3 linked regions of the Anolis sagrei genome follow. The protein of the gene in region 3 purifies or fractionates together with the protein of the main gene of each other region. This does not show direct contact. Links are inferred from orthologs where the notes say so. Each region holds a gene or a part of one and is shown on either strand. Other genes may lie near its edges.

What was found.
Region 1: the proteins of VAPB (region 3) and OSBPL10 purify together in Homo sapiens (affinity purification with mass spectrometry; 4 studies listed by BioGRID and IntAct, counting the BioPlex papers as one, with this or other methods). This does not show direct contact. The link is inferred for Anolis sagrei from reciprocal best matches to the Homo sapiens genes VAPB and OSBPL10.
Region 2: the proteins of VAPB (region 3) and LSG1 purify together in Homo sapiens (affinity purification with mass spectrometry; 3 studies listed by BioGRID and IntAct, counting the BioPlex papers as one, with this or other methods). This does not show direct contact. The link is inferred for Anolis sagrei from reciprocal best matches to the Homo sapiens genes VAPB and LSG1.

The regions. Positions count from the first base shown.
Region 1 is NC_090026.1:81,780,234-81,787,873, forward strand, and holds the start of OSBPL10 (oxysterol-binding protein-related protein 10), read left to right. Parts: upstream 1-4,543; 5' UTR 4,544-4,735; coding exon 4,736-5,034; intron 5,035-7,640. UniProt on the Homo sapiens protein: Probable lipid transporter involved in lipid countertransport between the endoplasmic reticulum and the plasma membrane.
Region 2 is NC_090023.1:274,191,179-274,198,268, forward strand, and holds the start of LSG1 (large subunit GTPase 1 homolog), read right to left. Parts: upstream 3,098-7,090; 5' UTR 3,082-3,097; coding exon 2,974-3,081; intron 1-2,973. UniProt on the Homo sapiens protein: Functions as a GTPase. May act by mediating the release of NMD3 from the 60S ribosomal subunit after export into the cytoplasm during the 60S ribosomal subunit maturation.
Region 3 is NC_090024.1:228,270,386-228,278,137, forward strand, and holds the start of VAPB (vesicle-associated membrane protein-associated protein B/C), read left to right. Parts: upstream 1-4,723; 5' UTR 4,724-5,249; coding exon 5,250-5,307; intron 5,308-7,752. UniProt on the Homo sapiens protein: Endoplasmic reticulum (ER)-anchored protein that mediates the formation of contact sites between the ER and endosomes via interaction with FFAT motif-containing proteins such as STARD3 or WDR44.

The DNA of each region.
Region 1 (7,640 bases), on a different chromosome or scaffold from region 3:
AAAGCCAGCCCAGAGTGGAATAAGCTCCTGACCATTAATAGCCTAGCATGCCATCAACCTATGCAGCCTGAAAGACAGTTACATCTGTCAAGTAGGAAATTTAGTTACCATGTTATGCAGGGAGGCTAATTTAACTAATTTACAAGGCCATAAAACCTCCCAGAAGTGTGCAGAAGAATGAGCAAATACTCCATCAAAGGACTCAGTGTCACAACTGGGCGGTGAAGCGGCAGCTCCCTCTGTGGCCGGAATCGAGCATACCCTCATGAAGCCGGAAAAGCTGGAATATTAAATTGTCTCTCTGCCTGTCTATATAGGTTGTATGTCTAAATGGCATTGAATGTTTGCCATGTATATGTGAATTGTAATCCACCCTGAGTCTCCTGGAAGGTGAGAAGGGCGGAATATAAATACTGTAAATAAATAAATACTGTAAATAATGCTGCTGCCTCAGTGAACTACAATTCTCAGGGTTCCATAATATCGACTCATGGCAGTTACAATGGTGTTACAATGCATTAATTCTACAATGTAGATGTACCCCAAGCAACAAGTGCATGTTTGTAATCCTAAAGGTAAGTAAAGATAGCAATCTTATACATAAAAATGCCTACAAGCTAAAGTACAAAAGTTTGTTTCTGAGTAATGACATGTACTGGAGTGAACTCTAAGATTGTATCCATATCACAACCTTATTTATTTATTTATTTATTTGCTCAATTTATATTCCACCCTTCTCACTCTGAAGGGGACTCAGGGTGGATCACAGAACACATATATCGCAAACATTTAATGGCAATTATACAATGACAAGACAGACAACAGATAGAGGTATATCTAAGCTTTCCTATCTTTCGGCATTTTGGAGGCTGTGCTTGGTTCCGGCCAACGGGGGATGCTGTCACTCTATCTCTCTGCTGAAGAGCTTTCTTTTGTTCATAAATATTCTCCTTTTTCTGATTGAAATGCCATGCCTAAATACCTCCCCGCTTTAACACGGTACCTATTTATCTACACACATTTGTTTTGGATCTGCTAGGTGGGCAGAGAGCTGGGCTAAAGGAGCTCACCCTGACCCGAGCTTTGAACTGTCAATCTTCCGATTGGCAAGATTTATTGCAGCTGGTGGTTAACCTACTGTGCTAAAGCCCGGCTCTTGATATCACTTGAACTGCTTTGGTTCAATGCTATGGAATTATGGGATTTGTCTGGGGAGGCCCTGCTCTCAATCCCGTCTACTTCACAGGAGTATCTGGCAGGGACTAGAGACAGGGCCTTCTCAGTGGTGGCCCCTCGGCTGTGGAACTCCCTTCCCAGGGATATTAGATCAGCCCCCTTTCTCCTGACCTTTCAGAACAGGGTGAAAACTTGGCTCTTTGAGCAAGTGTTTGGAGCTTCAGCGTGACCAGATAAATACAAAATTGTAATACGAACACAGAATGGCCAAGACGATGAAAACTGATGAGGAATTAGTCTGGATGACACTGTTTTTTAATAGATTTTTATAGTTTTTATGGATTTTATATGTATGAGGGTTGAATAAAAAGTAATGCCCCCACCTTCATAACTCCTCAACAGATGGCAGTACTGGTATGCGGCAGGTACTGGCTTGTTCAATACACTCTCCTCTACTGTTCCATTTTGGTGGGAAGCCTTAGCATTAAATGGTTGTGTTGTTAAAGTGCAATGTATGGAACCCTGCGCAGACACTCGGTCAATGCGACTTAAGCAACGTGCAGTCATTGAATTCTTAACAATAGAAGGTGTCACCTCCATATCTTTAAACTTGGTCACCCAATGATGCTCAGTACTCACATCAACACAATCACCATAAACGGCTGATGAATCTCCTTTGGGGTGACACCTTCTGCTGTCAAGAATTCAATGACTGCACATTGCTTAAGTTGCATTGACCAAAGTCTGTGCAGGATTCCATACTTTGCACTTTAATAACATAACCGTTCAATGTTAAAGCTTTCCGCCAAAATGGAACTGTAGAGGAGAGTCTATTGAACAAGCCAGTACCTGCCGCATACTAGTACTGTCATCTGTTGAGGAGCTATGCCCTCGTATTTATGATGTGATTTAATTGATTTTAACAGATATATGCACACACACACACACACACACACACACACACACATATATATATATATATGACATCTAATTGTTGCTGGTCTGTATGCTGCCCTGAGTTTCCTTCAGGCTGAAATGGATGGGATAGAAATGATGTAAATAAATCTATATAAATAAAAATGTAATGTTTGTTTGTGGGATTAACAGAACTCAAAAACCACTGGACGAATTGACACCAAATTTGGACACAAGACACCTAACAACCCAATGTATGTCCTTCACTCAAAAAAAATTAGATTTTGTCATTTGGGAGTTGTAGTTGCTGTGATTTATAGTTCACCTACAATCAAAGAGCACTCTGAACCCCACAAATGATGGAATTGAACCAAACTTGGCACACAGTTCTCCCATGACCAACAGAAAATACTGGAAGGGTTTGGTGGGCAGTGTCCTTTGGTTTTGTAGCAGTAGTAGTTCTCCTCCAGAAACTTTGCATGGCTGCCACAAATTATGATGACAAGAGGTCATGGAAATTTGTCTAATAGATTGATCAGTAAACATATTCATGGGTTCCCTGCTGTTATAGTAAGCCTGTTACCCATGCTACGACATGCTTGAAGTCAACATTACATTTATTTGTAATTAGAAATGTTTCACAATATATAAAATAAATGTTTAACAATCTTCCCGTGTAAACTATAGTTCGGCCCTCCAACAGTCTGAGGGACAGTGACCTAGCCCCCTGTTCAAAATGTTTGAGGACCCCTGTCCTAGAATATCAAGACAAAAAATCTGACATTATCTTAATGTGGATTCAGATAACCCAATTCAAAGCAGATATTGTGGGATTTTCTGCCTTGATATTCTGGGATATAGGGCTGTGTGGAAGGGTCCTAAAAGATCAGGATTTCAGCTCCTATTTATCCTTGGAAACAGGCCCGGAGCCAGGATTTTGATGGGGGTGGGGTGGGGGCTGAGTCTGAGTGAAAGAGGGTCTACCCTAGCAAACCTTTTGTATTGTTACCCTAATATTTATTATTTATTTATTTACTTTATTTCTATACCGCTTTTCTCAGCCCTTAGGCGACTCAAAGCGGTTTACACAACAATGCAAAATATCACAAAACAGTATAATGCAATTAAAACAGATTATAACATAACAATTAACAACAGTATAACAATCATAACGCCTCAACAATAAAATCAGAATCCACTCTCATTATCCATTGTTCCGTATTCCTATTTTCAATTTCACTGTTTAGTCAAACGCTTATTCGAATAGCCAGGTCTTCACCTTCCTCCGAAACGGCAACAGCGAGGGGGGGCGATCTGATGTCTGCAGGTAGGGCATTCCACAGCCGAGGGGGCCACCACTGAGAAGGCCCTCCCCAGATGATCTTAGTGTCCTGGTCGGTTCATAGGAGGAGATGCATATGGGATATATTGAGCATGTTGATCAGATCATGATATGAATAAACATAACAGTTTACATAATGTACCAGTAAGCAGGGCCGTAGCCAGAAAAAATTTTTGGGGAGGGTTGACAATTTCGGAGGAGGGGGTGGTTGAAAATTTCGGGGAGGGTTGAAAATTTCGGGGGGGGGGGGGTGAAACCTGCCTCCTAGCTCACGCTGAAGCAAAGAGCACAGCAGGGATCAGAGCAACCTTCAATAGCCTGCAGCTCCATCCCTGTCAACCACCTCCACCAAGTCTGGCCTCCTTAATGAGAGCATTCAACACACACATCCCCAACTTGGTTGCTTCACTACATTGGCTATTGCTGCAAGTAATGACAGTGTGAATAAATTGTCAATATTTGCTTGAGATAGTGCTTACAGTTCTGGAGGGACTCTAAATTGTTTGCATCTCATAGACTTAGCATGGGGATTTGGTTGACCAGTTAAAATTCATGAGTAAACCAGGTTTTTTTAAAAAATCTGAAACATTTCAGGGGGGGGGGTTGAACCCCTAAAACCATCCTCTCGCTACAGGCCTGCCAGTAAGGCCTTCTCGCGGACCACCATGAGAATTTGGGGGGGGGGGGGGCTGAAGCCCCTCAAGCCCCCCCCCCCTACATGCCTGCTTGGAAACCAACGGGAGAGGTCACACACTCTCAGCCTAACTAAAGCAATGGCAAACCCCTCCCCTGAAAAGATCCTGCTAGGAAAACTCTAAGGGCCCTTCCACATAGCTCTGTATCTCAGAATGGTGTCGAATAAAGGCAGCTTGACGTTGTTCCAATGAGAGTTTGAGTTAGAGAGGCACCAGAAGAGGCTCAAGACCTTGTAAGAGCCGGACCCTCAGGATTTCCCAGCAGTGAGCAGGCAGTTGTAAAGGAGTGTCAAACCGCATTAGTTCCAAAGAGTGGGCACCCTCCCACCTCCCCCCCCCCTCTCTCTCTCCGGCGCGCTTTGAGCCTCGGAGGGGCGTGTCGGGAGGCGGGGCCACCGAAGCCCCTCCCTCTCATTGCGAAGGAGGGTCGTCCCTTTCCCTTTGGCCCTCCGGGAAGCAAAGGAGGAGGAGGAGGAGATCCGCAAGGCAGAGGGCGGCGGGGTGGGTCTGAGCCGGACGTCGAGGAGAAGGAAGCAGGGGAGGCTGTGGCGGGTCTCTCCCTTTTCCCTCCTTTGCGGATGAGTCAGGTATTTCTCCCCCGAGCTCCATGGAGAAGGCGCAGAGCAGCGTCGGCGCGGAGGGGAACAACAACAACAGCGGAGGAGGAGGAGGAGGCAGCAACAGCAGCAGCCGGAGCAGCAGCCGGCCCCCTTCCGCGGGATCCTCTCCGTCCTCTTCGGCCGGGAGAGGGCTGCCCAACCGGAGGCCCGAGGGAGGAGGAGGAGGAGGCGGGAGTGGGAGCAGCCCCGGTTCGGCTGCAGCCAGCCCGGGGGCCAGGAGGACGGAGCCGGCGCTGGAGGGCAGCCTCAGCAAATACACCAACCTGCTCCAGGGCTGGCAGAGCCGGTAAGGAAGGCGACAAAGAGGATGGAGGCAGGGGAGGACTGCCTTCTCTCCTCAGGTGCAGCTTTTTCCTTTGCCACCTTTGCCCACTTTTTCCCGCCCAGGTCCAAACTTGGGCCCTCCAGGTGTGTTGGAGTCCAACTCCCACCATTCCTCACAGCCTCAGGCCCCTTCCTTTTCCCCCTCAGCCGCTTAAGCGGCTGAGGGGGAAAAGGAAAGGGCCTGAGGCTGTGAGGAATGGTGGGAGTTGGACTCCAACACACCTGGAGGACCCAAGTTTGCCCATGCCTGCTGTATACACTTTGACACCACTTTCCTCAATGCATGTTGTGGAGTTTGGACAAGCTCTCCAGCCTTCTCTGCTGGTGCCTCACCCAACTCTTTTCCTCCTCCATGGCAGTTCAAGCTCTGTCTTAACTACATTCACAAGATGTTTTATAGAATCATAGAGTTGGACCATCCAGGAATATTACATTCAAAGCACTCCTGACAGATGGTCATCCAGCCTCTGTTTAAAAGCTTCCAAAGAAGGAGCCTCCACCACACTCCAGGGCAGAGAGTTCCACTGCTGAACAGCTCTCACTCTCAGGAAGTTCTTCCTAATATTCAGATGGAATCTCCTTTCTTGTAGTTTGAAGTCATTGTTCCACTTCTTACTCTTCAGAACAGCAGAAAACAAGCTTGCTCCCTCCTCTCTATGACTTGCTTTCACATATTTATACATGGCTATCATGTCTCCTCTCAGCCTTCTCTTCTTCAGGCTCAACATGTCCAGCTCTTTAAGCCGCTTCTCATAGGACTTGTTCTCCAGACTTGATCATTTTAGTCGCCCTCCTCTGGACACATTCCAGCTTGGCAACATCTGTCTTCAATTGTGGTGTCCCGAATTGGACACAATATTCTAGGTGTGGTCTAACCAAAGCGGAAGAGAGGGGTAGCATGACTTCCCTGGGTCTAGACTCTATACTTCTATTGATGCAGGTCAAAATCCCATTGGCTTTTTTTGCCGCCGCATCACATTGTTGGCTCATGTTTAACTTGTTGTCCATGAGGACTCCAAGTTTTTTGTAGTAATAGTAATTTCCTTGATTAGCCCATCAGCCGCATCAAAACACTTGACAATCACATTCGACACATACAGCATACAACCCACAGTACAACAAAGTTAAACAAGCTGGGTTGTTGTGAGTTTTCTGGTCTGTCTGGCCATGTTCCAGAAGCATTCTCTCCTGACGTGTCGCCCACATCTATGGCAGGCATTCTCAGAGGTGGTGAGGTTTCTGTGAGTTTTCTGGGCTGTCTGGCCATGTTCCAGAAGCATTCTCTCCTGATGTTTTGCCCGCTTCTATGGCAGGCATTCTCAGAGGTGGTGAGGTTTCTGTGAGTTTTCTGGGCTGTATGGCTATGTTCCAGAAGCATTCCCTCCTGATGTTTCACCCACATCTGCAACAGGCATCAGAGGTTTTGAGGTCTGGGTTGCTGTGAGTTTTCTGGGCTGTAGGGCCAAGTTCCAGAAGCATTTTTTTCCTGACATTTCACCCACATCTATAGCAGGCATACCTCTGAGGAATCCTGCCATAGATGGGATGAAACATCAGGAGAGAATGCTTCTGGAACATGGCCATATAGCCCGGAAAACTCACAGCAACCCATTAATTCCAGCCATGGAAGCTTTCGACAACTCATGAGGTCTGTTGGAAACTAGGCAAGTGGGGTTTATATGTCTATGATATGTCTAGGGTGGTAGAAATAACTCTGTCTATTTGAGGCAGGTGTGAATATTACAGTTGGCTACCTAGATTAACATTTAATGGCCTTGCAGCTTCAAGTTCTGGCTGCTAACTGCCTGGAGGAATCCTTTGTTGGGAGAAGATTAGCTGGTTCTGATTGTTTCCTGACTGGAACCCCCCTATTTTGGAGTGTTCTTTATTTACTGTTTTTATTTTAGCGTTTTTTTAAAACACTGGCAGCCAGATTTTGTTCATTTTCATGGTTCTCTCCTTTCCGTTGAAATTGTCCACATCCTTGTGGATTTTGATGGCTTCTCTGTGGAGTCTGATGTGGTGGTTGTTAGAGTGGTCCAGCATTTCTGTGTTCTCAAATAAAACAGAGGAATTCCAGACACGAAACAATCAAGGCCAGCTAATCACCTCCCAACAAAGTATGGCCAATGCAGCAATTCACACTTGCCTCAAACAGACAAGAGTTTTTTCTCCCACCCTGGACATTCCACAGATATATAAACCCCACTTACCTAGTTTCCAACAGACTTCACCGCTTCTGAGGATGCCTACCATAGATGCAGGCAAAACATCAGGAGAGAATGCTTCTGGAACATAGCCATATAAGCCCGGAAAACTCAAAGCTACCCAGTGATTCCAGCTATGAATGCCTTCAACAATATGATAAACAAGCTGTTAATAAGGAATCAAGATCCCAATCCAGATTCAATATCTTCATCATCCCTACAGTTTACCCCAGTCAGCTCCAAATACGCAGTTCTCAGCTGAGCTGCTTTATATAAAAAAAGGGCCATTTAGTGTGTTATTTTAGCATTATTTAGCAATCAAAATGTAGTTTTAATATAAGGATCCCAGTGTGCCTTTTGT
Region 2 (7,090 bases), on a different chromosome or scaffold from region 3:
CCAGGTCTACTCTCCTTCCTTCTCTCTCTACCAGGTCAATCTCCTTCCTTTCCTGTAGTTTTCCTTTCCTTATTGTGATTTTATATCGCACTGTGTGTTTGCTTTGTATTGCTTTTTGTATTTTTTGTATTTTTATTATATTTTATTGCTGTATTATTGAGGCTGTATATTTGCATTGTTGCAATTGCTGGGCTTGGCCTCATGTAAGTCACCCTGAGTCCCCTTGGGGAGATGATGGCAGGGTAAAAATAAAGTTTATTATTATTATTATTAGTTTGCAGCCATTGTTCCATTGCGTTCTAGTCTCCGGGGCAGCATAAAGGAAGCCTGCTCCCCCTTCCCCCTCGGGCTTCTCTTCACATCTTGATCCCTGGCCCTCACCATCCTGCCTCGTCTCATCCTTCTCTTCTGCAGGCTACACTGTGCCGTCGCGCCTGAGGCTATAGCTCGTAGAAAAGGAGGCATGAACGTGACATCTGTCCCCAGGGGATTGCTTCTTGCCCTCCTTTAGGGAAACTAAAACTTCCAAGGACCAGAACACAACAGGTAACTCGAAATGATATTCATTGTTGACAATGAGTTATCTTTCTTAGGCACAAACTTGATGTTTCAACAGGGAAAAATACTTTATAAACTTTAAAGTCCAGGGTCCTAGGAGTTTTTAGCTGAGAAGCTTTTCCTGTTTCCCTCTCTCTCAATGGCTGTGAATATCGGAATACACACAACCCCAGTTCAATGGCCTATGTTGAAGGACAAGACCTTCCTCTGGTGCCAAAAGAACGGGAATGAAGGCGCCTGAGATCTTCACAATTTAATTCAGGATGGTCTGATCATAAAGGATAAGACTCAGGGGTAAAAAACCTAAGATAACATACACACTTGGTCCTGCTACAACTTATTGCTCCTAGTCTCCAGAGCAGCAGAAAGGAAGCCTGACCCCCCCTCCTCCCTGGGACTTCCCTTCCCTGTTGGGGTTTTGGGGGGGGGGGCAATTCATAGCCATGGGGCACGTGTGCCTGTATTCCCTCCCCCCATGGCATCTCCACGCTGGTCCCAGGCCTACAGAGACCTGGCAAGAGCGAAGCCCCCACCACAAAAAGGAACCTTAAAATTGCATTATGGAAGTGTTAAAAATCCTGGAATCCTAGAGTGGGAAGAGACCTCCTGGGCCCTCATCCAGTCCAACCCCATTCTGCCAAGAAGCAGGAATGTTGCATTCAAAGCACCCCTGACAGATGGCCATCCAGCCTCATAGAATCCTAGAGTGGGAAGAGACCTCCTGGGCCCTCATCCAGTCCAACCCCATTCTGCCAAGAAGCAGGAATGTTGCATTCAAAGCACCCCTGACAGATGGCCATCCAGCCTCATAGAATCCTAGAGTGGGAAGAGACCTCCTGGGTCCTCATCCAGTCCAACCCCATTCTGCCAAGAAGCAGGAATGTTGCATTCAAATCACCCCTGACAGATGGCCATCCAGCCCCTGTTTCAAAGCTTCCAAAGAAGGAGCCTCTACCACACTCCAGGGTAGAGAGTTCCACTGCTGAATGGCTCTCACAGTCAGGAAGTTCTTCCTCATGTTCAGGTGGAATCTCCTCTCTTGTAGTTTGAAGCCATTGTTCCATTGCGTCCTAGTCTCCAGGGAAGCAGGAAGGAAGCTTGGTCCCTCCTCCTCCCTGTGGCTTCCTCTCACATACTTATACATGGCCCTCATCCTGCCTCGTCTCGTCCTTCTCTTCTTCAGGCTAAACATGCCCGGCAGCTCCTTCAGCCGCGCTCTCCTCTCGGGGCGTGTACTCCAGGCCCTTGATGCAGGAGAAGCACGTTCAAAGCAGTCCTGGAAGATGGCCACCCAGCCTCTGTTGGAAAGCCTCCTGCTTCCTAACTGAAGCTCACCGATACATCAGCCAGGCCTGGCCCCACTTCGGCTCTCCTCCGGGGGTTTTGGACTCCAACTACCGGCTGTGAGGAAGGGTGGGAGCTGGCATCCGAACCCGCGGAGGAGGACCGGAGTGGGCCCGGCCTATCCTTGAAGACGCCAAGCCAAAGCCCAGCAGTATGTCTCTCTTTCAGTTCTTGTGGGTTTTTTCGGGGTATATGGCCATGTTCTAGAGGCATTCTCTCCTGACGTTTTACCTGCATCTACGACAAGCATCCTCAGAGGGAGTGAGGTCTGCTGGAAATAGGAAAATGGGTTTATATATCTGTGGAATGACTGGGGTGGGGCACAGAGCTCTTCTCTGCTGGAGCTAGGTGTGAATGTTTCAACTGACCACCTTCATTAGCATTTGAAGGCCTGGCTGAGCCTGGGAAATGTTTTGTTGAGAGGTGTTAAGATGTGCCTGTTTGTTTCCTCTCTACTGTTTTGCTGTTGTAATTTTAGAGTTTTTTTAATACTGGTAGCCAGATTTTGTTCATTTTCATGGTCTCTTCCTTTTTGTTGACATTGTCCACCTGCTTCTTGTGGATCTCAATGGCTTCTCTGTGTAGCCTCACATGGTGGTTGTGAGAGTGGGCCAACATTTCTGTCTTCTCAAATAATCTGCTGTGTCCAGGTTGGTTCATCAGGTGCTCTGCTATGGCTGACTTCTCTGTTTGAAGGAGTCTGCAGTGCCTTTCATGTTCCTTGATTCGTGTTAACACCTCCCAGCAAGAGATTTTCCCAGGCTCAGGCAGGCCTTCAAATGCCTTCAAATGCTAATGAAGGTGGTCAGTTGAAACCTTCCCACCTAGCTCCAGCAGACAAGAGTCCTTTGCCCCACCCCAGCCATTCCACAGATATACCAACCCTTTTTCCTAGTTCCAACAGACCTCACTCCCTCTGAGAATGCTTGCCATAGATGCAGGCGAAATGTCAGGAGAGAATGCCTCTAGACCATGGCCATATAGCCCGAAAAAACCTACAACAACCCAGGGATTCCGGCCATGAAAGCCTTCGACAAGACATGTCTCTCTTTCTTTCTTTCTCTCTCTCACCCATCCGGGGTCTCCCCGCTGCTTCCCCCCGCGGCCCTGTCCCCGCTCTCGGAGGAGGGCTCTCCCCAGGCCCGGACCCCCCGACGCCGCGGCCTTCTTCTTGCCCATGTTGCTGCCCGAGGAAGGAAGGAAGGGGACCGCTTTCCCGGAGCACGCCGCGCGGTCACGTGGCGGCAGCGGCGCTCGGCCAATGGGAAGGCGCGCCTCCTGCGCGTCGCTCTTCAGGCTCCGGGTGGAATTGCTCCCCCGCGCACATGGGTACCGGGACGTTGCTGCCCCCAAGAGGCCGCCAGGAGGCGCCAGGCCCTCGCCGGGAGAGAAACAGCCAGAAACAGATATTAAGCAATCAAGGCCAGCTAACACCTCGCAACAAAGTATTCTCCCAGGCAGGAAGCAGCCAGGCTTTCAAGCTGCAAGGCCATTCATAGAATCCTAGAATCCTAGAGTTGGAAGAGACCTCCTGGGCCATCATCCAGTCCAAACCATATTCTGCCAAGAAGCAGGAATATTGCATTCAAAGCACCCCTGACAGATGGCCATCCAGCCTCTGCTTCAAAGCTTCCAAAGAAGGAGCCTCCACCACACTCCCTCCGGGGCAGAGAGTTCCACTGCTGAACGGCTCTCACAGTCAGGAAGTTCTTCCTCATATTCAGATGGAATCTCCTTAAACTCTATTCCCTTCAAATCACCCCTGACAGATGGCCATCCAGCCTCTGTTTCAAAGCCTCCAAAGAAGGAGCCTCCACCGCACTCCGGGGCAGAGAGTTCCACTGCTGAACAGCTCTCACAGTCAGGAAGTTACAGAATCCTAGAATCCTAGAGTGGGAAGAGACCTCCTGGGCCATCATCCAGTCCAACCCCATTCTGCCAAGAAGCAGGAATATTGCATTCAAATCGCCCCTGACAGATGGCCATCCAGCCTTTGTTTCAAAGCTTCCAAAGAAGGAGCCTCCACCGCACTCCGGGGCAGAGAGTTCCACTGCTGAACGGCTCTCACAGTCAGGAAGTTCTTCCTAATGTTCAGATGGAATCTCCTCTCTTGTAGTTTGAAGCCATTGTTCCGCGTCCTAGTCTCCAAGGAAGCAGAAAGGAAGCTTGCTCCCTCCTCCCTGTGGCTTCCTCTCACATATTTATACATGGCTATCATATCCCCTCTCAGCCTTCTCTTCTTCAGGCTGAACATGCCCAGCTCCTTAAGCCGCTCCTCATAGGGCTTGTTCTCCAGACCTTTTATCATTTTAGTCGCTCTCCTCTGGACACATTCCAGCTTGTCAATATCTCTCTTGAATTGTGGTGCCCAGAACTGGAGCTGATCAAGGTGGCCAATGGCAACATTCAACATGATGTAGGTATCTGCATAAAGAAACAGGCATTAAGCAATCAGGGCCAGCTAACAGCATGAAGCTGTGTTTCTGGCATTGGAGAGGGATTGGCTGGTGAATGCTGGAAGAGCACTTTGGTTTCCTTGATGTTCAATGACAGGCTGAGCTGCTTCTCGTATGCTTCTGCAAAGGTGTTGAGAGTGGCTTGTATGTCTTCTTCTGAATGCACACAGACTGCGTTGTCATCAGCATACTGGAGTTCTATAACAGGATTCTCAAGAAAGGCCCATGCCCTTCCTTCCACGTGGCCAGACAAGGCAGCTTCTTCATCATGCACTGCCACTGTATTGCACTGAAAACCAAAACCAAGGTCACAACAACATCTGTTATAGAACTCCAGTATGCTGATGACAATGCAGTCTGTGCACATTCAGAAGAAGACCTACAAGCCACTCTAAACACCTTTGCAGAAGCATACGAGAAGCAGCTCAGCCTGTCATTCAACATCGAGAAAACCAAAGTGCTCTTCCAGCAGTCACCAGCTGATCCCTCTCCAATGCCAGAAACACAGCAACAGTAGACAATGTGGACCATTTCCGCTCCCTTGGCAGCCCCCTCTCCACAAAAGTCAACATCGACACTGAAATTCAACACCACCTGAGCTCTGCAAGTGCAGCATTCTTCATCAAGTTAGAAGGGACGCCAAAGGCCATCAAGTCCAACCCATGTTTGCCAGGAAGACAGGAAGACACAATCCAAGCCCTCCCAACAACTCAGACAGACTCCCAGGAAGCTGCAGATTCCACTGGTGAACAGCTCTGGCCAGAAGGAAGGTCTCCCAAATATTCAGGAACTTCTTTTGTTGCCAATGCTGAGTGAAGCCGTGTCTTTCTACATCCTGCAATCCTGGTTCTTTTGACATGGGACTCTGCCAAGGGAACAACGGGCCCAGAGCTAGAGGTTGTCATGATCTCTCGATCATGCCATACAACTGACACAAACCACGTGGCCATGGGACATTGGGCCAAAAGGAAATGCAGGACAAATTGGGGCAGCCATAAAACTTAGCTGCCAAGGGTGAGGGAAGAACTGGGCTTTGATATGGGAGGGGTTTGATGTGGTAATGGGACTAGGTGCCAAAGGTAAGGGAGGAAATGGGCCTTGAGATGGAAAGGCTTTGAAATGGTAAAGGCACCAGGATACCTGAAAACATGATTTATGGTATGGTAGTTAGTACTATATAAGAGGCCTGTAGTTGAAGCTCTTGTATTCCTAACAATAAACGTGTGGATGTCTACTCCACTTGGGATTCTCTGCGTGATCCTTCGGAGGAGATTTCTCCAGAGCCACACCGCTTGGAACTGAGATAACTGACAGAGGTCTGATCTCAAAGGATTTATTCTGAGAACCAGCTTATCTATCCGAACGCATCTCTTCCTACGAACCCACCAGGAACTTGAGATCGTCCGAGGAGGCCCTGCTCTTGATCCCGCCTGCTTCGCAAGCATGTTTGGCAGGGACGAGAGACAGGGCCTTCTCTGTGGCGGCCCCTCGCCTCCCTGCTTAGGGATATTAGATCAGCCCCCTCCCTCCTGACCTTTCGAAACAAAGTGAAAACCTGGCTCTTCGAGCAAGCATTTGGAACCTCAGGATAAACAGACAAACCTGAATCGGAAAATGACCCAGGAACGATGGTTAAGACGATGGAACGGATGAGGATTTGAACGAGAGGACATAGTTTTTAATTTTATTATTATTCATTGTTTTTATGTCTCTAAACGTACTATAATGTTTCTTTTTTGCTTTTTATCAATGTATGTATTTTATATATGGCATCAAATTGTGCCGACTGTGTATGCTGTCCTGAGTCAACTTCGGGCTGATATGGGCGGGACAGAAATAGTGTAAATAAATAAATAAACCAACATCTTGTTCCCCAACCAGCCTGGATAGTGGCTGTGCACCATGGTATCTTTAGAAGCAGATAACCTGAGGGTCAGGAATGCAACTGTAGGGGCAACAAAACCAAAATATTTCCCAAAAGGCAGAAGCCCCCTTTCCAATAGGGAGGGCAAGGATGGACACCACGAAAGTTGAATCCTTTAAACTGCAAAAAACTATTTATTATTGCGTGGCCATAGCAATAACGACAAACAAGCATACAGGGATGCAATCAAAGGGTTTGTCGCAACCCCCAAGGGGGCTGCAGAGCAATTATAGTAAATGGAATATACATTTTCATTGGTTCCCAAAGACAAATCATTTCATTAGTCTAAGCTAGCTATGCAGTTGTTCATTAGTTGTTTATGATTTTGATTGACATTATAGCACACGTGGGATTCTAACAATGGCACAACTATAACATAACTATGGTCCATTGTTCTCTGACCATGACTGTATCTTATCTGTTAGTCTGTTGCAAACATGGCTTCAGAGCGACTGGGAAACTTGGGGGTTCTATCTAGCAAACAGCTAGCTGGTTTTGTCCGGATATGTTGTTACCCTTGAATAGTAACTTCTTCTTTGGAGCACTGATTTCTCAAACAATCAGCATTTTCTGTGAACAAAGGCCTACTGCAGAAATAGGCCAATATGGCAGTAAATCATGACATATGGGCATTGGGAATATATCTGAAAATTACCTTTTTAAAACCACGTCCCCTCCACAACTGTTTCCACCTGTTACTGATGAAGGACAACAACAACAACAGCAACAATAATCTTTTATTTGTATACTACTCCATCTCCTCGAGGGGACTCAGGGTGGTTTCCAGCATAGGTAAAGGATTCAGTTA
Region 3 (7,752 bases):
AAATTTGGTATACGGATATTATGGATTGCCAATGCAGTTTTTTTTTTTCATGTCAGGAGTGAGTTGAGATTGTGGTGGGGTACAAATAAAGATTTTTTCAAATAATAATAATAATTTATTCTTCATTTATTCAGTCGCTTCCAACTCTTCGTGACCTCATGGACCAGCTCACGCCAGAGCTCCCTGTCAGCCATGGCCACCCCCAGCTCCTTCAAGGTCAAGCCAGTCACTTCAAGGATAACATCCATCCATCTTGCCCTTGGTCAGCCACTCTTCCTTTTTCCTTCCATTTTCCCCAGCATCACTGTCTTCTCCAAGCTTTCCTGTCTTATTACATGGCTAAGTACTTCATCTTTGCCTCTGATATCCTACCCTCCAATGAGCTGTCGGGCTTTATTTTCTTGAGTATGGACTGGTTGGATCTTCTCGTGGCACTCTCAGAATTTTCCTCCAACACCACAGTTCAAAAGTGTCAATCTTCTTTCCTTCAGCCTTCCTTATGGTCCAGCTCTCACATCCATAGGTTACTAAGGGGAATACCATTGCTTTTACTATGCGGATCTTCATTGCCAGCCTGATGTCTCTACTCTTCACTATTTTATTGAGATTTGTCATTGCTCTCCTCCCAAGAAGTAAATGTCTTCTGCAGTCTTCAGCCTGGAAATAAAAAGTCTGTCACTACCGCCATGTTTTCTCCCTCTATTTTCCAGCTATCAATCAGTCCAGTTGATATAATCTTTTATTTAAAAAAATGTTTAACTGCAACCCAGCTTTTGCACTTTCTTCTTTCACCTTGGTTAGAAGGCTCCTCAGCTCCTCCTTGCTTTTGGCCATCAAAGTGGTATCATCTGCATATCTAAGGTTGTTAATGTTTCTTCCAGCAATTTTAACTACAGCCTTGAATTCGTCAAGCCCCGCACATTTATTTATTTATTTACATTATTTCTATCCTGCCCATATCAGCCCGAAGGCGATTACACATTTGCGAGTAAGTCCCATAGAATTAAATGACATTTCCCTTCTTAGCAGAGATGTAAGGCTGCGGTTCTAAACATACTGAATAGTAGCTGTCAACCTTTGTTCATTAGATGTGTTCTGTATACAAGTTGAATAGGTTAGGTGAAAGTATACAGCCTTGACATATCCTTGTCCCGGAAAGGATCGTTACCTTGCCGTGATGCAGCAGCTTGAGCACTTAAATGATGCCACGAGTGAAACCGTGAAGGGACACCCAAGATGGAACAGTCATGGCAGAAAGGTCAGACCGAACACGATCTCTGGGGAAGGTAATGGCAACCCACCCCAGTATGCCAAGAAAACTAAATGGATCTATTATTATTATTATTATTTGAAACATAGCAAACAGAATCACTCTACTGGCTGTTGTATTTGGATCACACGTCGGACACTTCCCAAGTGTCTAAGACTGTGTGATGTGTTGGCGAATAATGCATGCAGATCTCAGTAAGGTGGCCTTCTGCAGCAGGCAGATGGTAATTTTCTCAGCCTCGATTGTGTTTAAGTGCAGGCCAAGGTCTTAAGGCACCGCACCCAATGTGCCGATCACCCCTGGGACCACCTTGACTGGCTTGTGCCAGAGTCTTTGCAGTTCGATTTTTAAATCCTCATATCATGTCAGCTTTTCCAGTTGTTTCTCTGCAATCCTGCTGTCACCTGGGATTGCGACACTGACAATCCATACTTTGTTTTTTAACACAATTGTGAGGTCAGGAGTATTATGCTCCAAAACTCTGTCTGTTTGAATCCGGAAGTCCCAGAGGAGTTTGGCGTGTTCTTTCTCTGTAACTTTTTCCGGCTTGTGATCCCACCAGTTCTTTGTCACAGGCAGATGGTATTTGTGGCAATGAATCATCTGAGCAACGGTGTTGTGCCTCTGCTTGTAGTCTGTCTGTGTGATCTTCTTGCAGCAGCTGAGGATGTGATCTATTGTTTCATCTTCTTCCTTGCAGAGTCTACATTTGGGATCTGTCGTCGACTTTTCAATTCTGGCTTTGATGGCATTTGTTCTAATGGCTTGTTCTTGGGCTGCCAGAATCAGTTCCAATTGTGAGCCACAGCCATGTTTTTTCTTTGTCAGTTTGGCTCTCAATTTTTCCCAGGAATTGTCCATAGAGAGCCTTCTTTTGCCAGTCTTCTCTTCTGCTCTGGATTGTGTTTTTATGATATTTACTCTTTGTCTTTTGCACTCAAAGCAGTTTACTACTATTGACTTCCCTCAATGTTGGTTCTTGACTGCCTTTCACATAATCTGCCAGTGCATGATTCTCTTCTTCTACCATTTGTTTCACTTGCAGAAGCCCTCTGCCTCCTGATTTTCTGGGCAGGTAAAGTCTGTCGACATCACTACACAGGTGTAATGCGTAGTGGATTGTCATGAGTTTTCTTGTTTTTCTGTCCAGATCACCCAGCTCTGCTTGTGTCCAGTTCACAATTCCAGCAGTGTATCTAATGACGGAGAAGGCCCAGGTGTTGATAGCCTTGATCATATTTCCGCCATTTAATTTGCTCTTCAAAACCTTTCTCTTTGGATATATTCTTTGCTGACCATTTTCTACATGCCCATGCTTGATAGTGTCCAACTGTAGCATGCCCAGATATTTATACATCTATTTATATTTATGTTGTTGTTCATTCGTTCAGTCGTCTCCAATTCTTCGTGACCTCATGAACCAGCCCACGCCAGAGCTCCCTGTCGGCCATCACCACCCCCAGCTCCTTCAAGGTCACTCCAGTCACTTCAAGGATGCCAGCCATCCATCTTGCCCTTGATCGGCCCCTCTTCCTTTTACCTTCCACTTTCCCCAGCATAATTGTCTTCTCTAGACTTTCCTGTCTCCTCATGATGTGGCCAAAGTACTTCAGCTTTGTCTCTAGTATCCTTCCCTCCAGTGAGCAGCCGGGCTTTATTTCCTGGAGGATGGACTGGTTGGATCTTCTCGCAGTCCAAGGCACTCTCAGCACTTTCCTCCAACACCACAGTTCAAAAGCATCGATCTTCCTTCGCTCAGCCTTCCCTAAGGTCCAGCTCTCACATCCGTAGGTTACTACAGGGAATACCATGGCTTTGACTAGGCGGATCTTTGTTGCCAGTCTGATGTCTCTACTCTTTACTATTTTATCGAGACTGGACATTGCTCTCCTCCCAAGAAGTAAGCGTCTTCTGATTTCCTGGCCACAGTCTGCATCTGCAGTAATCTCTGCACCTAGAAATACAAAGTCTGTCACGGCCTCCACATTTTCTCCCTCTATTTTCCAGTTGTCAATCATTCTTGTTGCCATAATCTTGGTTTTTTTGACGTTTAGCTGCAACCCAGTTTTTGCGCTTTCTTCTTTCACCTTGATTAGAAGGCTCCTCAGCTCCTCCTTGCTTTTGGCCATCAGAGTGGTGTCATCTGCATATCTGAGGTTGTTAATGTTTCTTCCAGCAATTTTTACCCCAGCTTTGCATTCATCCAGCCCCGCACATCGCATGATGTGTTCTGCATACAAGTTAAAAAGGTTGGGTGAGAGTATGCAGCCTTGCCGTACGCCTTTCCCAATCTTGAACCAGTCTGTTGTTCCGTGGTCAGTTCTTACTGTTGCGACTTGGTCCTTGTACAGATTCCTCAGGAGAGAGACAAGGTGGCTTGGGATGCCCATCCCACCAAGAACTTGCCACAATTTATTATGATCCACACAGTCAAAGGCTTTAGAAGAGTCAATGAAGCAGAAATAGATGTTTTTCTGAAACTCCCTGCCTTTCTCCATTATCCAGCATATATTGGCAACCTGGTCTCTCGTTCCTCTGCCTTTTCTAAACCCAGCTTGCACATCTGGTAACTCTCGCTCCATGTATTGCTGGAGTCTTCCTTGCAGGATCTTGAGCATTACCTTACTGGCATGAGAAGTAAGGGCCACTGTACGGAAGTTGGAGCAGTCTTTCGCATTTCCCTTTTTTGGTATGGGGATATAAGTTGATTTTTTCCAGTCTGATGGCCATTCTTGTGTTTTCCATATTTGCTGGCAAATGGCATGCATCACCTTGAAAGCATCATCTTTTAAGATTTTAAACAGTTCAGCTGGGATCCCGTCGTCTCCTGCTGCCTTGTTGTTAGCAATGCTTCTTAAGGCCCATTCAACCTCACTCCTCAGGATGTCTGGTTCTAATTCATTCACCACACTGTCAAAACTATCCTCGATATTATTATCCTTCCTATACAGATCTTCTGTATAATCTCGCCACCTTCTCTTGATCTCTTCAGCTTCTGTTAGGTCCCTGCCATCTTTGTTTCATTACATTTTTATTTATATAGATTATTATTATTATTATATTTTAGGTTAGCCCAGGCATGGGCACACTTGGGCCTTCCCTCCAGGTGTTTTGGACTTCAACTCCCACAATTCCTAGCCGGAATTGTGGGAATTGAAGTCCAAAATACCTAGAGGGCCCAAGTGTGCCTATGCCTGGTTATCACATCTTTAAATCACTTTTGTGATGGTTTGCTGGAGTCTCTCTATGGGGAGAAAGGCGGGTGAAAAATAAGGGCAATGAATAATTAAATAGATCCAATCAACGCGGCTTCTTCCTCCTCCTCCTGTCTTCCTGGGCAGCCTCCTTGGGGAGAAAAGGGAGGAGGTGGAGGTGGGCTTGGCTGCTTCTCCTCCTTCTCCTCCTCCTTCTCCGGAGACGTCAGCTTGCAGCTCCCCTTCGCCCCGCCTCTTTTTCCTCCTCCCTTCCTTCTCTCCTTGCTGCAGCGTCCTCCCTCCCTCCCATCCTCCTCTCCTCCTTTCCCTCCTTCCTTCCTTCCTTCTTTCCTTCCTGGGCCGGGCAACGCAGGACAGCAGCGCCTTTCCCTCTTTCCCTGGGAGCGCGCCCGGCTCAGCCTCTTTCTCTCTCCTTCCCTGCCCAAAAGAGAGAGAGTGAGAAAGAGAAGAGAAGAAGGAAAAGTCTCTCTCTTTTTCCTCCTTCCTTCCCCCCAAAAAAGAAGGGGGAAAGGGCGTCTTTCCTGCACAAAAAGGAGGGCGAAAACGCGCGCCCCTTTTGCATGCGCGCCTGTGTTCTGCTTCTCTCTCTGCGCGCGCAAAGGGGATTTACTCTTGCTTTTTTCCTATATATTATACATATATAATTAATAAAGACAGCTCTGCATATAGAGATCTTTTTTTTGGTTCCCGAGGAAGAGGAGGAGCAAAAGCAACAGCAGGAGGAAGGAACAGCAACAGCAGGAAAGGGGAGGAGGAGAAGAAACATGGCGAAAACCGAGCAGGTCCTGAGCCTGGAGCCGCAGCATGAGCTCAAATTCAAAGGTAACTTGGAGAGGGGCTGCTTCCTTCCTAACCTGAGCTGCTTCCTCGCCTTTTCCTCCTCCTTTTGGGCTTCTCCTTCGGCCGGGGGACAGCCTGGCTCCCCCTCTTGCCCCTTCCCTTGCTTCTCCCTCCCTTAAACCGAAAGATATCTGTCTAGATCGGCCAGGATATAATCCGATGCGCCGGGGTGGAGGCAGGAGAGGCAGCGGCGCGCTTTGCTGCGGTGCCAAAAAGGGCTCAGCTCCAGCGGCAGCCATTTTCCGGGGGCTCGCCCTCCTCCTCCTCCCCTCCCTCCTCCTAAAATGTCCTTAGTGGAAAAAGCACGGGGGGGACCTGAGCTACCTTTCCCTCCCTCCTTTCCCTCCTTTCCCAGCCCTCTTTCCTCTCCCTCTCTGCTTAAAGCCGCTGCGCAATCTCTCCTTCCTTTGGGTTGGTGCGGTGGCCAGGAGGGCGAGGATGGCACACAGCAGAAGCCTCCTTCTAGAGAACCAAAGCCTTGGGCCTCATCTCCACTGCCATACCACCATACCATACATTATATGGACTCTTGTGAATCTATACTCTCCATATAATGCAGTGTTTCTCAACCTGGGGGTCGGGACCCCTGGGAGAGGGTCGCAAGGGGGTGTCAGAGGGGTCGCCAAAGACCATCAGGAAACACAGTATTTTCTGTTTGTCATGGGGGTTCCCTATGGGAAGTTTGGCCCAATTCTATCATTGGTGGGGTTCAGAATTCTCTTTGGCTGTAGGTGAACTATAAATCCCAGCAAGTACAATTACCAAATGTCAAGTTATTTTCTCCAAACTCTACCAGTGTTCACATATGGGCATATTGAGTATTCATGCCAAATTTGGGCCTGATCCCATCATTGTTTGAGTCTACAGTGCTCTCTGGATGTAGCTGAACTATAACTCCAAAACTCAAGGACAATGCCCACCAAATCCTTCCAGTGTTTTCGGTTGGTTATGGGAGTTCAGTATATCAAGTTTAGTTCAATTCTATCATTGGTGGGGTTCGGAATTCTCTTTGATTGTAGGTGAACTATAAATCCCAGCAACTACAACTCCCAAATGTCACAGTCTTATTTTCCCCAAACTCCACCAGTGTCCACATTTGGGCATATTGAGTATTCGTGCCAAATTTGGTCCTGATCCATCATTGTTTGAGTCTACAGTGCTCTCTGGATGTAGGTGAACTACAACTCCCAAATGCAAGGTCAATGTTCACCAAACCCTTCCAGTATTTTCTGTTGGTCATGGGAGTTCAGTGTGTCAAGTTTGGTTCAATTCCATCGTTGATGGAGTTCAGAATGCTCTTTGATTGTAGGTGAACTATAAATCCCAGCAACTACATCTCCCATATGACAACATCAATCCCCCTTCCAATCCCACCAGTATTTAAATATGGGTGTAACGGGTATTTGTGCTCAATTTGGTTCAATGAATGGAAATACATCCCGCATATCAGATATTTACATGACGATTCATGACAGTAGCAAAATTACAGTTATGAAGTAGCTACGAAAATAATGTTATGGTTGAGGGTCACCACAACATGAGGAACTGTATTAAGGGGTTGTGACATTAGGATGGTTGAGAAACACTGCATTATATGGTCTCCTGTGAGTTTGTACTCTCCATATAATGCATCATAAACTTTGGAAAGGACCATAAGGGCCTTCCAGTCCAATCCCCCTTTCCTCTGAATCAAGGAGGTACTGTCTCTCCTTTGGGTTTGCACCTTCATCCTTCTCTTCAGTGTCTCTCCTTTGGATTTGCACCTTCATTCTTCTTTGGTGGGGAGGCAAAATCCTTCCTGGAAAAGCTCCCTTTCAGACGAAGCCTGGTTCTTTCTCCATCCCTTGTGTTTCTTGGTCTTAGTTTGTGGGCAGTCCTTTGAGGATTGAGGTGCCCAGGATCCCTTACGGTTGCAGGGTGGGTGGGTTGGGTTGCATAGGAATCTGCTGCGCTTGTGTGATGTTAGATACTATGAAGAAGCAGCCTCAGGGAAATCTTAAGGGCCTAAAATGCGTGATTATTTCCTTCATATTAAGGGGAAAACAATCAATGGACCCCAACCAAGCTATGTATTGCACAAACCATGTTTTGGTGGAGACGTGCTGCCAGGTCCATGTTATACAAGGAAAGAAGCCACCCACCCATGTTGCAATGACAATGTTTCCTGACAACTCTGTTCTCTCCCGTTGGTTGAGATAACAGGTCCAACCTCAGTTATGCTTATTTAGAAGTAAGCCCCAATATCTCCACTAAGGGTGTTTTCTACTCAAGTTTGCTAAAGGCTGCTGAAAGCATTTTGTTTGGTGCTCATTTAGGTATCTGATGGATATGGTGTCACATTATTAGACTTTCTATTTTGGCGTGGATTCTCCAAACGGAAATGGGTTAAATCCATTGGCCACTTTTTTTTCCATGTCAGGAGCGACT